Oreochromis niloticus: one gene and its partner. The protein of the gene in region 1 binds, or shares a complex with, the protein of each later gene. Links are inferred from orthologs where the notes say so. Each region holds a gene or a part of one and is shown on either strand. Other genes may lie near its edges. The genes, in order: xab2 and ppie.

Evidence for each region.
Region 2: xab2 (region 1) and ppie share a complex: the UniProt entries of both Homo sapiens proteins name them as parts of the XAB2 complex. The link is inferred for Oreochromis niloticus from reciprocal best matches to the Homo sapiens genes XAB2 and PPIE.

The regions. Positions count from the first base shown.
Region 1 is NC_031969.2:23,555,235-23,563,765, forward strand, and holds the start of xab2 (pre-mRNA-splicing factor SYF1), read left to right. Parts: upstream 1-5,133; 5' UTR 5,134-5,257; coding exon 5,258-5,293; intron 5,294-5,553; coding exon 5,554-5,702; intron 5,703-5,863; coding exon 5,864-5,987; intron 5,988-6,090; coding exon 6,091-6,288; intron 6,289-6,603; coding exon 6,604-6,738; intron 6,739-6,844; coding exon 6,845-7,009; intron 7,010-7,172; coding exon 7,173-7,317; intron 7,318-7,412; coding exon 7,413-7,564; intron 7,565-7,685; coding exon 7,686-7,805; intron 7,806-7,966; coding exon 7,967-8,098; intron 8,099-8,433; coding exon 8,434-8,531. Other genes in the region: myosin heavy chain, fast skeletal muscle, read right to left, coding at 105-208, 294-392, 495-558, 641-733, 811-922, 1,002-1,029, 1,222-1,378, 1,511-1,654 and 1 more. UniProt on the Homo sapiens protein: Involved in pre-mRNA splicing as component of the spliceosome. Involved in transcription-coupled repair (TCR), transcription and pre-mRNA splicing.
Region 2 is NC_031983.2:27,578,234-27,585,660, forward strand, and holds the start of ppie (peptidyl-prolyl cis-trans isomerase E), read left to right. Parts: upstream 1-4,044; 5' UTR 4,045-4,127; coding exon 4,128-4,158; intron 4,159-4,180; exon of another isoform or gene 4,181-4,310; coding exon of another isoform or gene 4,311-4,320; intron 4,321-4,437; coding exon 4,438-4,536; intron 4,537-4,631; coding exon 4,632-4,675; intron 4,676-5,785; coding exon 5,786-5,812; intron 5,813-6,414; coding exon 6,415-6,496; intron 6,497-6,585; coding exon 6,586-6,689; intron 6,690-6,778; coding exon 6,779-6,902; intron 6,903-7,030; coding exon 7,031-7,216; intron 7,217-7,427. Other genes in the region: pabpc4 (polyadenylate-binding protein 4), read left to right, coding at 73-203, 296-386, 471-601, 689-790. UniProt on the Homo sapiens protein: Involved in pre-mRNA splicing as component of the spliceosome. Combines RNA-binding and PPIase activities.

The DNA of each region.
Region 1 (8,531 bases):
TGAATTGCACATAAAAGGTAATAATTAACATTGTGATATTTTTGTCATATATACATATACATATATATTTGCAGTCTAAGAAAAGGTATGAACTGAGTCTTTACATCTGTTGCAATGAACTCCTCCACATCATTAATGCTTTTGACAGTCACTTCACCCTGACTGATCATTGGATAGTCAAAGGGATTTGTGGTGATCAGAAGAGCCTCTGAAAGACCAGAAGAAATGCATAAATAAATAAATGCTATGAATCCAAATTAAACTTCACCGTACAAATACCAGTCAGTACCTACCCAGGAGCTCAGGCTTGTGCCCTGTCATTAGCTGATAGAAGATATGGTAGCTCCTCTCAGCAGACAACTGGAAGGTGACACGGGACTTCTCCAGCAGATCTAAGACCAAAAATTCAGTGTGAGACAAAAGTGTGCAGATTTCATAACATCAGACAGCAACAGTGAATAAAATGTAAAAAAAGAAAAATTAAAATAACTTACATGTTTCAATATCAGCTGAAGCCAGTTTGCCAGTGGTTCCAAAATGAATTCTGATAAATTTACCCTAAACGTATCAGATTTAAATTAACAGTTATTTTTGACAGTTTGCTTTCACACCTGGTATTCTTTTCTGTTCCAACACTTACAAAGCGAGAGGAGTTGTCATTCCTAACAGTCTTGGCATTACCATATGCCTCCAGCAGAGGGTTAGCTGCAATGATTTGATCTTCCAGGGAACCCTAGAAAAATTATGTTACACCTTTTTTGGTATACTGTAAAAACTTTACTTACTTTTTCCAAGTAAAAGCAGTTATACCTGCATCTTGCCAGGTGTAGGCTCTGCCTTCTTGGATGCAGTCATTGCAATTATTGCAAAGTACTGGATGACACGCTTAGTGTTGACAGTCTTTCCTGCACCAGATTCTCCGCTGGAGAAAGAAAGAGTTGAATTGAGTTTTATTGTGTGTTTTTTCATATCTGACATTCATTTATTGGTATATTACTCACGTGATGAGGATAGACTGGTTCTCACGATCTAAAAAGAACAAATACTTAAATTGATTGTTAATTTAAAACCACAAATGATCAAAATACTGTGCTGATGAAACATCAGATGTGCTATGCCATGTTTTGTGTTTCATATATATATATATATATTTCATGTATATCCTACATGATATTCTAAATGTATATATATATTTAGTATATCCTCTAAAATAAAACATACCAGTGAGCATGAACTGATAGGCATTATCAGAGATGGAAAAGATGTGCGGTGGAGCCTCAACTCTCTTTTTGCCCCTGTATGCCACAACAACCTGAGCGTCATACACAGGAAGCCACTTGTAGGGATTCACGACGACACAGAAGAGGCCGGAATAAGTCTGGAAAGCAGAGTAAGTTCACAAATGTCATTGTGTCCACACTGGACATCTATATCATTTTAATAACTTCTCCCAGTATAGAAAAGTAGAGAACAGGCAAACACTATTATTAAATGTTTGTTAAACACCTACATAGATCATCCATGATGCAAAACGCTCTTTGAGGTTAAACAGCACGGCAGGCTCATTGAGGTGGGTCATCATGGCCATGTCCTCAATTTTATCAAACTTTGGGGGATTCATGGGGTGGATGTCATCCTCTTTTACAGTGACTGTCTACATAGAAAGAAACAATTTTTAAAAAATTTAATAAGTACATTATGTAACATATAATATTAATCTTATCTGTTTTCGGGAGAAAGTTGAATGGGTGGAATTGTTAAAGTTAGAATCTTTTATGAATATTCACTTACCTTTCCTCCAAGTGTGTCAACAGTGGCTTTACCACCCTCCTTCTTGACAAGTTTGCCCTTGACATACATCTCATCAGGAACAGCCACAAAGTAAGCCGTCTTGGCATCAAATGGAGCAGTCTGGGCCTCAATCCTCTCCCTTTCTGGCTTGCGGAGATAAATGGCCGCAGGGCCATACTGCTCCATCTCTGCGTCTGTGCTCATGGTGGCACTTTAGTGGTAACTGACAAAAGGAGAAGGGATATGAATGAGTTGGAACATGTTAAATTGTGATATAGTTTTACATAATTTGGAAATATTTTTTAATGAACATTATTATAACCATTTGGGAGTTGTGTTATTTAAGACACATCTCACCTCACTTTATCCCTACTGAGTGGCTCTGATCTGTTGTTATCTGAAGATGCATTTAAAGAAAAATATAGATGAAAGAAAACACAAAGTCAACATATTTGCACTGCTATCACCTACAGCAGTCACATTACATAGAATTTTGGTTAAGCAGTCTTCCTTGGCTGCATAGTTGTTGTTTTTTAACAGTTTTCAAACATTCAGTAATCCATACACAACATTTCAAGTGTTTCATTACAACTCTTAATGAAAGATTTAATCTAGTTGAGTAAATCAGTAAATCAATAGCATTTGATATTTCCTTTCCTTCAAGAGTGCTAAAATGAAATTGAAAAAATGGAACAAACAGCTACGATAAATTTGATTAAAAGTTAATTCAGTTTAAAAAAACAAACAAGCACTGACCTGTTGAGGATGCCTTTCAGTTCTCTGAGGAGACTGAAGTAGTTGCTTTTATACAGGCTTAAACAGCTTGGTCAGCAGCAGTCTGCCTCTCGATTTGGTCAAGCATCCCTGTCATTTTAAGACCCCTCTTGTGACATATTATGTTTACTCAGCTTTTTGCGTACCAGATTTTATCTTGCTTAAATAAGAAAATAGTTCCAATACAGGAAAAGGAAAAAAATATTAAATTAATCAGTCAAGCAGGAGAAGAATTTTATAGAAATATAGTAAAATTGAAAATCAAAATAAATAAATAGTCAAATAAAGCAGCTTCAAGTTCCTTTATTGCATGGGACATTGTATGTTCTATGTCATCCTTGTTGAATGATGTGAAAAGATCAAATTATAGCCATTTTGAAAACATAAATAATCTATTACAGGAGTTGTGCTTTGACTTCCATTTTTAAACCCATTACCTCTTTCCCTTTAGAAAGATGCACTGAAATGTCATTAGTATTGAGTGTCAGAGCTTGTCCACATTTCAGATATTTAAAATACTGTAAAATGTAGTATCGTTTACATGACTCAAAAACAAGAAAAGTCAACCCCTCACAAAAAATATGTTAATTTTAAAGAGAATGCAATTTTATGTTAGTAATATTGTGCAATATGTTCTAGATAAACACTGGCAATAGCTTTATTTCAGCTCATAAAAAGAGTAATGTCTAAAGTATGCACTAAAATAGATGCTACTCAATGAACATAATTTTTTAAGCACGAATTTTCACCAATAAATCATTAACTTAGGTAATATTTGAATCTGATTTACTTGAGAAATATTTTTCTATTTTATTTTATAGTGAGAGGTTGTCACTACTTAGCCACACTATTAAACATGTTCTTACGAATGAAAATTAATTTTGGAGAAGCCTCCATGTGTTGCTGGTATACAGTTGCAGTGCATTGGCACATCTATCTGAGTGGGACTTATTATAGGTCTTATCTCAGCCCGGTTGGCAAATGTTCTTCTAGTGCTTATAAGGCAATGTGTAATACCAGTTGAACTTTATGGAAAAGGCCTTACATTCAGTTTTATTAGAGGAATATGAGATGTGCCAATGTTCTGCAACTGTACACCAGCACCTCTTAGGTGCTCCCTCAAAATGAATTCCCATTCCCTGGCTATGAACATGTTTAATAGTGTGGGTAAGTAGAGACAACCTCTGTCAAAGATCTTTATCCTCAAGCTACATTTGATGTTGTTTTTGTTTTTGAAACATGGTGCCCTTGATCAACTGTGTGACTTTCATTTTAAAACATTACTAGCATAGTCCCCAAAGTAGAATAATCTATATAATCTCCCAAATGGTTGACAGCTGCCTGAATGCCACTCAGAGGAATTAAAACAAAATGCAGAATCACAGTTTTAAATATGTCTTTAGGTTGACATAGAACTATATAAATCTAACTGGGTTCATATAACTTAAGGGCTGAGATATTAACCATATTTATTGAGCATCTCGTTGTCCTGCCTATTCATGCATCTGTGCTGAAGCTACAAGACTTGCAAATGACTGCTGTAATTCACTTTCACTGTGCAAAACTTGTTTGCTGAAAAATATGAGCAAGTATGAACAGTTATAATTTGATGACTTCTGTTGGCTAATGATGGTGTAGATAATTATATCAGTCAAAAAGGGGAAACTGGTGTTTTTTGTTAAATGCTATAAAACATTATGACATGTTTACTTTTGTAAAAAATAAAAAAAAAAAGTCCTGCAAAAATAAATAGATTTTTCTCTCCGTTTTCATTAACTGGACTTCTGTTAACTTGTGTATTCACAGACCCCAGAGGTATACCTTTCTGTAATTTCTAAGACGATAATCATAGGTGCAGTGGGCAGGTTTCGTCACACTATGCAATTTTTTATAGCTCCTTGTAAACATTAGATGCTTCATGTGCAACTAGAAAAAAAACTATATTTGAACCAAATTTATTTATTCAGTACATTTATTCTTTGATTTTAACAAAAGGTCAGATTGAGATCAGAACATTTTGCAAGATGGTGTTTTCTTACAGTAGTTTATTCCTGGGGTCCATAGAGACCCAAGTCGGTAATCCTTTTACTACAATGATTTATATGTTGATATAGGATAGCCTACAGTGTGACCTGATGACCTGCTTAAGCACTGTACATATTTTAGAACTATTATTTGCCTTGTGCTGACAGAAAATGTTTTACCAGCAGAGCTTCACCTACCATGACTTAAAGAAAACAGTTACAGAAAATGTTTCAAGACTGAAATTCAGGCATATGGCTCACCTCTTTCTCAGATAGTTAAAACAATGCATATCTGCTAGATTTTAAATGTACCTGTGTCATTGCATTTTTGTATTGGATTTGATTTCCATCAGTTAATAAAGGTTATATTTTCCTTTGCCAATAAGAGACGCACTGTTGCCTAAATTACTTAAAAGAAGACGTTGATATTAAATGTAGATTTTTTTAGACAGAAGAAACTATAAACATATTTTTTCTGGGCTAATGTAAGCGAGAGCTCTTCTGAACTACAAACATCGCGCCGTTTGTAGTTTTTTGTGACTCGGGTTGTGCACTCTGGCACCGGAAGTTCCTGTGAGGGTTACACACGCTTTGAGTAGGCAAGCTAGTATTAGCTTGCTAAAGTTAGCATAGCTTTTATCCGGAACAGCCGCCTTTTCTGTGAAGAAATGAAAACATTAAACGGAAAAACCGATGTCATATTTGTAAGTTACACTACACCGTATATTTCACAGAACATTTGTTAGTGTTTGTTGATTAGAGGTTTTGGGTAGCTAGCATTAACTTTAACTTTATTCTAGCTAATGTGGAAGTTTGATAAAGCTTGAAATCAGAGATAACGTTTTGCCAAATCGACTGTGCTTACACATTTGACACAAAGAAATTATCTTTATTTTTTTTATGAGTTATTAACTGTGAAAAATCGCTACAATAGTAACACCGCTGTTTGATTTCTGGATACTAGGAGGACGACGATCTACCTTATGAAGAGGAGATCATCAGGAATCCATATTCAGTCAAGTGCTGGATGCGTTACATCGAATTCAAACAGAATGGACCAAAATCTACCCTCAATATGATATATGAGCGGGCTCTAAAAGAACTCCCTGGCAGGTAACTAACAAGAGACCGTTACAAAAAAAATTGTGGACATTGTGCTGAGAAGCCAATAGCAACGGATAACTCAAAACCCATAGACTATACATTATTGTACAAGATTCTGTGCAGCAACTATTTCCCAAGTGTCTAACCACCCTTCCCACTCATTTTTGCAGCTATAAGTTGTGGTACAATTATCTGAGAGAGAGGCGAAAACAAGTCAAAGGGAAATGTATCACAGAACCAGCCTATGAAGAAGTCAATAATTGTCATGAAAGGGCACTAGTGTTCATGCACAAGGTAATACCTCCTATAGATCTTGATGCTTAGCCACTTTACTCATAAAAGTAACATTTGGTCTGCAAGAGCTTTGCATAAAACTAACTGTCTTTACTTAAACTAGATGCCTAGAATATGGATGGATTACTGCCAGTTCCTTGTGTCTCAATGCAAGATCACAAGAAGTCGTAGAACATTTGACCGAGCACTTAGAGCTCTTCCTGTAACTCAGCACCCACGCATCTGGCCTCTGTATCTCCGCTTTGTCCGTGACTTGCCATTGCCTGAAACAGCCATCCGAGTGTACCGCAGGTACCTTAAGGTGAGAACATACTGCACAACCTTAAGTCTATACAGCAGCTGTCATTTAAAATGTTAAGGTGATTTCTGATTTAATTTTTGTTTTACAGGTGTCATCTGTCAAAGTGTATTCTGTGGCATAAATGTTGTCCTTAGCCTCTGAAGATTCTTAGCTGTTATCCAAAAGACCTTACATGCATTCAATAACAAGCTTTATGGCTGATTAAGAAAGTTTTAAAAGATAGACAAGTTCCCTAATCTGTTCATGCAGAATACCTGTGAAAATATTTCTTTCTGAATGTTTAATGTCTTACTGTCTTCTCTTGATACCTTGTAGCTTTCTCCAGAAAATGCAGAAGAATACATAGACTACTTGCGGTCTGTTGGCCGCCTCGATGAAGCAGCTGTGCGGCTAGCAGCTGTTGTCAATGATGAAAACTTTGTGTCCAAAGAGGGAAAGTCTAACTATCAAGTAAGATGGGATTCTTCCAGACACTTTTCAACACTCCAGCCTTTTAAGCTACATGAAAAAAATATAAAAAAAAATGTTTTTCTTCTTCTTTTCTTTTTTTGGACAGCTGTGGCATGAACTATGTGACCTGATCTCCCAGAATCCTGACAAGGTGACCTCTCTGAATGTAGGAGCCATCATTCGAGGAGGCCTCACTCGCTTCACAGATCAACTTGGAAAACTTTGGTGCTCCTTAGCTGACTATTACATCAGGAGTGGCCACTTTGAGAAAGTGTGTTTCCTCTGAATAGCATTCATTTTTACCCCTAATATATATAAGTAACTAAAACACATCTCTACTTTACCTTTTATTTTAGGTTGAGTCATTTTGCATTAAAATAATTTGTTATCAGTGAGTTTGTCCAACTGTAGCCAAACATTTTTTTTTTCCTCAGGCACGTGATGTCTATGAAGAGGCCATCCTTACAGTAGTCACTGTAAGGGATTTCACACAAGTGTTTGACAGTTATGCTCAATTTGAGGAGAGCATGATCGCTGCTAAGATGGAGACTACAGCTGAGATGGGGCAGGATGAGAATGGTGAGTATGTGTGCATCAGTTAATCTTGATAACTGTCTTTGTTTTTTGTTTTGTTTTTTTCATGTGTACATTACTCTTTGTTTTTCTCCACTCAGATGACATAGACCTGGAGCTAAGACTTGCCCGCTTTGAGCAGCTCATTGCCCGGCGACCCCTCTTGTTGAACAGTGTACTCTTGAGACAGAACCCCCATAATGTTCATGAGTGGCACAAGCGGGTAAAACTGTATGACGGAAATCCACGACAGGTGGGTTTTAAATATTTTGCGAATGATTGGGACAGTGCACAAGTCACAATATATACATTTCACACACAAAAAAACTACCTTCATGTAGTGAATTACTAATAAATAGCCCTATTTTCTTCAGATCATCAACACATACACGGAGGCAGTCCAGACTATTGATCCAATGAAGGCCACAGGGAAACCTCACTCACTCTGGGTTTTCTTTGCTAAATTCTATGAGGAAAATGAGCAGCTGGACGATGTAAGTCATTATTTAAACTTACGTTTACCTTTTTCAGATCATTCATTATTATTATTATTATTAGTAGTAGTAGTATTAGTATCATTATTATCATTATTATTATTATTGTTATTGTTGTTAGTTCCCTGTATTTACTAACTTTATTTACTAACTCAACTCAGGCGAGGACAATCTTTGAGAAGGCTACCAAGGTGAACTACAAACAGGTGGATGACCTTGCTGCAGTGTGGTGTGAATATGGAGAGATGGAACTTCGTCATGAGAATTACGAACAGGCACTACGAATTCTGAGGGTAACTGATCTGCATCATATACATCATGCACATGATCCTTTTTGGAGCCATATTTAGGAACATCTTGTGGGCATCATATATTGTTTGGGAATGACCAGGTTGTGAAATAAAGAAGACATTTGTTAGACTTGTTATTTAAATGTCTTTTGAAAGTATATTTCAAAATATAATTAACACCTGGTAACTGAAGTTATAGGCTGTAGTTTCACTTGCACCGAGTAAAAATGTTTGCAGTTGTTTACAAAGGCAATTTTAAGCAAAGGGTGTAATATAAGTAGTTGCATCACCTTTTAAACTTATGAAACCATTTACATATTTGTATTTATTTTATTTAGAAAGCAACAGCTATCCCATCCAAGAAAGCAGAGTACTTTGATGCTTCTGAGCCTGTCCAAAACAGAGTCTACAAATCCTTGAAGGTCTGGTCAATGCT
Region 2 (7,427 bases), on another chromosome or scaffold:
TTCATTGATGTTGATGTTATAGAAATGTTTTCCGTGTTAATAAAACTGCAATTTCTTCCTCATGGTTGCTAGCTGGTGGTCAGAGCATGGGGCCTCGTCCTTCAGTCGGAGTCTCCGGCCCTCGGGCCATGCCTCCTTACAAATACGCCACTGGTGTCCGTAACCCCAACCCCCAGGTGGTGCAACCTATTGCCTTACAGCAGGTGTCACATCATCTTACCACATTACCACACCCACATTAAGCGTCCAAATGTTGAAACATTGTTCCTCATTATGTCTTAACTGTGCCTTCCAGACTCAGCCAGCGGTGCACGTTCAGGGCCAAGAGCCTCTCACGGCCTCCATGCTGGCTGCTGCACCTCCTCAGGAGCAGAAACAGATGCTGGGTAAGACTGACAGTTACAAACAAATGCTGTTCAGGGCTTTTTTGGCAGATTTATACTCACTCACACTTTTTTTTTCCTCTGCAGGGGAGCGTCTGTTCCCACTGATTCAGGCCATGCATGCCAACCTGGCAGGAAAGATCACCGGCATGTTGCTGGAGATCGACAACTCTGAATTACTACACATGCTTGAGTCCCATGAGTCTCTACGTTCAAAGGTACCTCACTACCTCAAGCACACTGAATAGTCTGGTATCCATATTCTAAGCTGGGTCATGCTCATGCTTGTCGTCGTGTTTGTACAGGTGGAAGAAGCTGTTGCAGTTTTACAGGCACACCAGGCCAAGAAAGACGCCACCCAGAAAGTAGGTGGCATGGCTCCTACTGCTGCTGCTGCCACATCCTGAAGACTCTGAGCTATTCTAACTTGGTATGGAAATACATATTTAGTCAAGCTAATCAATCAGGTTCATTAGGCTATACATAATAAAGCTTGTGTGGCACTAATGGGAAGACACTGTGTTGTTTCAGAGCACAGAAAACTGAGAGGAGATGGGAAGAGATGCACTACACTGGAAAGCCCAAAGTCTTCTGAACAATCACACAAAAACAAAAATCAAGAAAAAAATGGAAAACCTTATTTTAAATGTACACTTTGAAAAAATATTACATAATGCATAATTTTGTAGTTCTGTAATACTTTTACGCTGCATACCAGATGCAGTGATGCAAATGAATCTTGGACAAAGGCCCTTTATTTTGTGGCAAAGGAGAGGAAGTAAAAAGAGCCTTGTTCTTTGTCTTTGCTTGAAAGCTTCATGTTGGTGTGAAATGACTCCTCCATCCTAACACGTTATCAACGGGTGTGTGGTAATTTCAATAAAGGGATGATATATCCAGGTGACTCACCTTGTGTTATTTTAATTGAGAAGGAAAGTGTGCAGAAGGAGAGAAGCATACCACGTAATCTGTGACACGTGGTGGAGGTAATGTTACAGCGTGGGCAGTGGAACTGGACCACCAGTGTTTAATGATGATGATGTGACTGTTGATGGAAGCAGCAGGATGTGATGGGAAGTGTGCAGAGCTATAGTCTCTGCTCAGATTCAGACAACCAAGCAGAGAGCACTACAGCGTGCAAATGGATAATGACACGGAGCTGCAAAAACAAGAGTTTACTCAAGGTAAATAAACGGGATAATCTTCAGTGACCAAGTCAGGCACCTGATCTCAGCCCAATAGAGCAGCTTTTGCTCATTACTGAAGATAAAACTGAAGGCAGAGACCCACAAACCAAGCAGCAACTGAAGGTGACTGCAGTGACAGCCTGGCAGAGCATCTCAACAAAGCACCTGATGATGTTCGTGGGCTCCAGACGTCAGCAGTCATTGACTTTTCATCCAAATATTAAAAACCAAAAAATCATCAAATCATCAAAAATAAATGGGGAACTATTTAAAAAAAAAAAAGGCTGTAATTCAAAACTTTTAAACTCCTTAAATTAATGCTAAAGTCTGCACTTCAATCAAGTCTTGACTGTTTAAAATAAAATCTGCTGTGGTGGTGTACAGAGGCAAAACTGCAAAACCTATTAATGACCAAACACTAATGAACTAAAGCGTAAGTGTGTGTCTGACAAACACTTTGCTACCAAGTAGTACCAAAACATCGTAACATCTCCACAAGTATTAAAAACATATAAGTTGTGTTTGGTGTTTTTTAGGGTGTTTGTTTTTTTGTTTTTTTAGCATTAAATCAAAAAGAAGGAAAAAAAGTCAAGAAAAGTTTCCCTATATTCAAATTATCAAGTGGGAATAAAAGTGGCTTTGCAGTGCTTACACATGACTGAAAATGCAAATTTTGCAAAGAATTAATAGGTTGTAGTAAAATATCAAACTCTATTTTTAGCTTGTCCTATTAACTGTTTTGAGGAATCTAGAAGTTTGCAATTGATTTCTGCTATTTGTGATTAATTTCTCTGACGGTTTAAAGGACTGGGTTCAGGCAGAGAGAAAATATCTAACTTAGGAGAGACGTGTGGAAATTAGTTTGCAGGTGGATAATTATGGGTGTTGAAGGTCTACTGTCTTTCACTCCAGTGCAAATAAAGAAACACAATCAGGATGTTTTATGTTGTGAACACCTTTGGCAATGAAGGAAGTGAATAGTTCTTTTTCCTCTTTAAGCTCCCTAATAAGTCATTGTGATAACGTGACAGCACGCACAAAAGGTTTGTCACCGTCGCAGGAGAGAGTCCACAATAAAATGAATTACTGCTGAATTCCATTTAGCTTAAACAGCCACATATTGCATTTTATTGGCAGGGTTGGGTCCCATTATTCGGAAATGTCAGGTGCTGAATATAAATAGCATGGCAAACCTTGTAAACTCTTTTAAGCTGCAAGATGTTTCTGAGTTAAAGATTTTGCAGAGGGAGTTTGACTCTATTAGAAGTTAATGAGGAGAAAACAGGAGCCTTTAATAATTTTATGCCTAAAGTAATGAAACTCTAGGTCCTCTTGCCACTTTTGCTAAATCTTCTGTTGGAAACCTTGGAGTAAGTTTTGACTCAGCCTTCACGTTAGATCCTGCTTTGCTCTTGTTTTTGTCACTAAGAAGTCTTAAAAAGTTGTGTTCCATTGTGTTGTGGCTTTATTTGTTCAAATCTGGATTGCTGTAATTCATTATTCACTTGTCTCAACAAAACATCCTTAGGAAGGTCTGCAGACCGTGACTTCTAAGTCTTCTAAGCACTCATGTCACACCACTGCTAATTCAGTTGCACTAGCTCCCAGTTAACTTCAGAGTCCACATTAAAATTCTGGTTTTGCCTTCAGAGCTCTGCATGAGTAAAGCACCAGCATACATCAGGAACTCTTAACTTCACACATCCCCAGCAGGTCCCTGAGGTCATGTGATCAGAGAAGGTAACTAAAAGGGACCAAGCTTTTTCAGTGGCGGCCTGCAGGCTTTGGCTCTCTGTCTGAGCCTACATCTGTGGACGCGTTGGTATCTTTATTTTTATTTTTTTTTAAAACCTAAAAACTCAGTTAAAAAAACAACTTCCTGCTGGATCATTTATTTCATCTTTATGTTTTTAGTATTTTGTTGTAAAATTTATCTAGACAAGTGCTATATGAAAAAATGTTACTCTAGATTACTTTAAACTGTAAAATAATCCACTGGATTATAAAGAATAGTTGGAATTTCTTTAGATTATTTAAAAATGCGTTATTCAAATTTTGCTGGCCACTGGGCGAAGCCATCACTGACACTGATGACTGACAGCATTGCTCTCAAAATGCTTGAAACAAAATTCTGTACGCTTGTGAATTACTTTTATTTTTGGCTTACTAACATGGAAGTTTGCCTGTAAGGGTTTCTTCATTTGTTTTGAGGGACCCATTGATAAAATAGTTTAACATCTTTCCTCTGCACCAGGCTGATTAAAGTTACTTATTTCTTGTAATTTGATTACATAGTCTTAATAACTAAGCTGGACAGTCTTGGACAAAAATAAATTAAATATTTTTCTTTTCAATCAAAGCAAAGATCGGATTGCATCGTGGCTTTAAAACTATAAATGTAGTCCAAATTAAAGTAAAATGCAGTTTATTGGCGATAATGGGAGATTCCTCCGACAGAGGGCGGTAGAGCTCACTAATCTGAGGCTGCTTGTTTTAGTTCGGGTTCTCTCCACCAATGGGAAGCTGCTGGGTTCAAAGTTGAAGGGTTAAATCCAATATGGCGGCTAACAAGCGGGTGTTGTATGTGGGTACGTTATGGCTGTTTTTTGTTAAACTTTCGCTGTTTAGATGTGTGTAGCTGACGTGTTTACGACTGTATTATAAATCTATACCGTAGCAGTAATTCTGCGCATGTCAGGAACACGACAAAGACGCAGGAGAGAGAAGTTTAGCCGGAAAAATGAGCGCACGTTAGTTTAACCCGGCATGTAAATACTGTCCGTTATCCCAGCTCTGTACACTGTATTTGTTTGAAATGTTTTTCCCTTTTTTAAAATGCGGATCTGAAAAATGCGTGTTTATGTCAGGCGGTTTGGCAGAAGAGGTGGATGAGAAGGTGCTCCATGCAGCTTTTATTCCTTTCGGAGACATCATCGACATCCAGATCCCGCTGGACTATGAAACGGGTAAGATCAGGACCGTTTTGTCCACGATTAACAATAAACCCTGCAGCAGCACAGAGATGAAAGTGTTCGCTTTGTCTTGTGTTTTACATTTTCAGAGAAGCACAGAGGGTTTGCATTCATCGAATTTGAGCTGGCAGAGGTGAGTCCGGCTTATACAGCCTGCAGTGTGCTAATATTAGCCTATTAATGATATTATGTAAATGATATGCAACGGAACAAATATCACTGGCTCAATCCATGTCAGGTCAGATTTTCCTGTAAGAAAACTCCAGGCAAAAATTTCTTTTTAATAGGAATTATGCAAAATGTCCGGTTCCTACTGTCATTAAAATTCTTACTAAAAATACTTTACGGGGATGAACCTGTTGGGACATTCTTGTAGTGTCATTTTAAAAACCTGTTCTCTATAACGCTATAGATAACAGTCGTGTCGTGCTGCTTACATGCTGTGAGCCATGATAGAAACAAATAAAACGCTGGGACTTTTTTCCTCCTGGGTCCTCGTGCTTTCGTGTGATCAGTTTTTTTTAGGGTCAAACATACCTGTCCCTCCAGTTCTTCCACTTCTTTGTAAATTCTCTCTCATCTACTCTGATAGTTTCAGCCATCGCCCTCCAGGAATTTGCTTGACAGCAGCAGGCCAGTCACAGTAGCTGCGGGCTGCATCGACCACAGCAGTTAGATTTTGAGGGAACTGGATGTCATGTTATACTATAGGTTAGGTCGTAGGGTTTCAAAGGGGTTTGCAGTTATAATGTAGCTACAGTGTAGATTTCCCGCTGAAGCATAAATCCCCTAGTAAGGCACATAAGGAAACACACACCACACCTGAAGGAAACAAATTTTCATTCATCTCGAGTGTGTAATTCCTCAGGTATGACACCACGTACCAAATCACCGTTTTCTCTCTCATTTTTGAAATATCCATCTTTTTTTTTAATTTGATGAAATGACCCTATCACAGATTATTTTATGCACGTGATGGTCTGCTCTCTATACTTTTATTTAAATTTAAATTGCAATGACCTTCCACTTCCTTGTGATTAGTTTGTCTGTTCACCGCTGATCGTGTCATCATTGGTTAGTATTAACTTGGGTATTAGTCATTAATTATTATTCATCTGCATGTTGCAGTTTTAGGAGCCGGGAATTTACCAAAGTGAGTCACTTGAATGGTTATTGGTGACTTAAGGTGAAACATATTTCTGTCCTCATAACCCATTTATGGCTTCTTTCTCATCTTCTGCAGGATGCTGCAGCAGCTATTGATAACATGGTAAGTTTCTCACATAACTGCTTCACCAAAGACATGTTATTCCCATCAAATAGCCAAAAAACAGCATCAAATGAACCCTTTTATGTCTTTTACCTTCTTGCTGAAGAGTCAAGCGTGTTTTCTCCAGTTACTCCGGCTTCCTCCCACAGTCCACAGACATGCAGTCGGGGGGGTTAATTGGTGATCCTGGCCTAGGTGTGAATTTGCGGACAAACGGTTGTCTGTCTCTGGGTCAGCCCTGCGACAGCCTGGCGACCTGTCGAGGATGTTCCCCCGCTTCTCGCCCTATGACAGCTGGGATAGACTCTGACCCCACCACGACCCTAAATAGTAGAAAGTCTTGGCAGATGATTGAAAACAAGAGAGTCACCTAATAATTTGTTTTCATTAAGTGTCATAAAGGATAGTCCAGTGTATCATCTGCTAAAGGAGGTATTAAAGGAAGCACTGAAGCAGGTTTCCTTAGTAGTTCGGGATTTGGAGCAGCTCTTATTGTGGCTGTTACGCAGACACTCACAGATAACATCACTCTGTCAGGAACCTTGTAATTTTAAATAAAATTAAAACCTGATTATTGTTAAAATGTTTTTTTATCCCTCTAGAATGAGTCTGAACTTTTTGGAAGGACTGTCCGCGTCAATATCGCCAAGCCCATGAGAATCAAAGAAGGTTCTTCTCGACCAGGTGAATAATAAACACTTCATCCATTCTGTTTGTCTCTTTTTTTAAAAAAAGAAGTAGCGGTTGAAACTTTAAGTCTGCCTTTCCTGCAGTGTGGTCGGATGATGACTGGTTGAAAAAGTTTTCTGGGAAGACCGTAGAAGAAGCTGAGGCAGAGGCAGCAGCTGGAGAAACACCCCAAACTACAGCTCAGGAGGTGAGAGGATTTCACTTCTAATCTGTGTCTCTGTGGGGTCGTGACTTTATAAATCTTTTAAGATGCGAGGCGGTAATTTGTTCTTGCAGGGTGAGCCGCCGGCTAAAAAAGGCAGAGTAAATCCTCAGGTCTACATGGACATAAAGATCGGCAACAAGCCAGCAGGGAGACTGCGCTTCCTGCTCCGGGCTGACATTGTTCCCATGACAGCAGGTGTGTATGTGTATATGCTACACATCCCAAAGTTTTCCCAGAGTTTTCTTCTTTCTCTGAATGGTCTCCATGTTTGTAGAAAGAAACTGTGGTATCTGTTAGATTAAATCTTCTTTTATTTTGAATAGAGAACTTCCGCTGCTTGTGCACTCACGAAAAGGGCTTCGGCTACAAGGGCAGCAGCTTCCACCGCATTATCCCTCAGTTTATGTGTCAAGGAGGCGACTTCACCAACCACAACGGCACGGGCGGGAAGTCCATCTATGGCCGGAAGTTTGATGATGAAAACTTTGTCCTTAAACACACCGCTCCAGGTGAGCAGTCGTTTATGCTGCTCTGAGAAGGTGCAGTGAAGCGTGTCAGCAAGACTCCTGGTTTTTACCTGATGTAGCTTTTTTTTAAGACATATCAATACTGGAGAGTTATTTTTATATATTCCAGTTAAAAAAATCAGCTACCGTTTCCTGTGTAATTAGTGTTAACACTTGAAAAACGGGTCTTTCAGTGTGAATCAGCTCTTTTGTC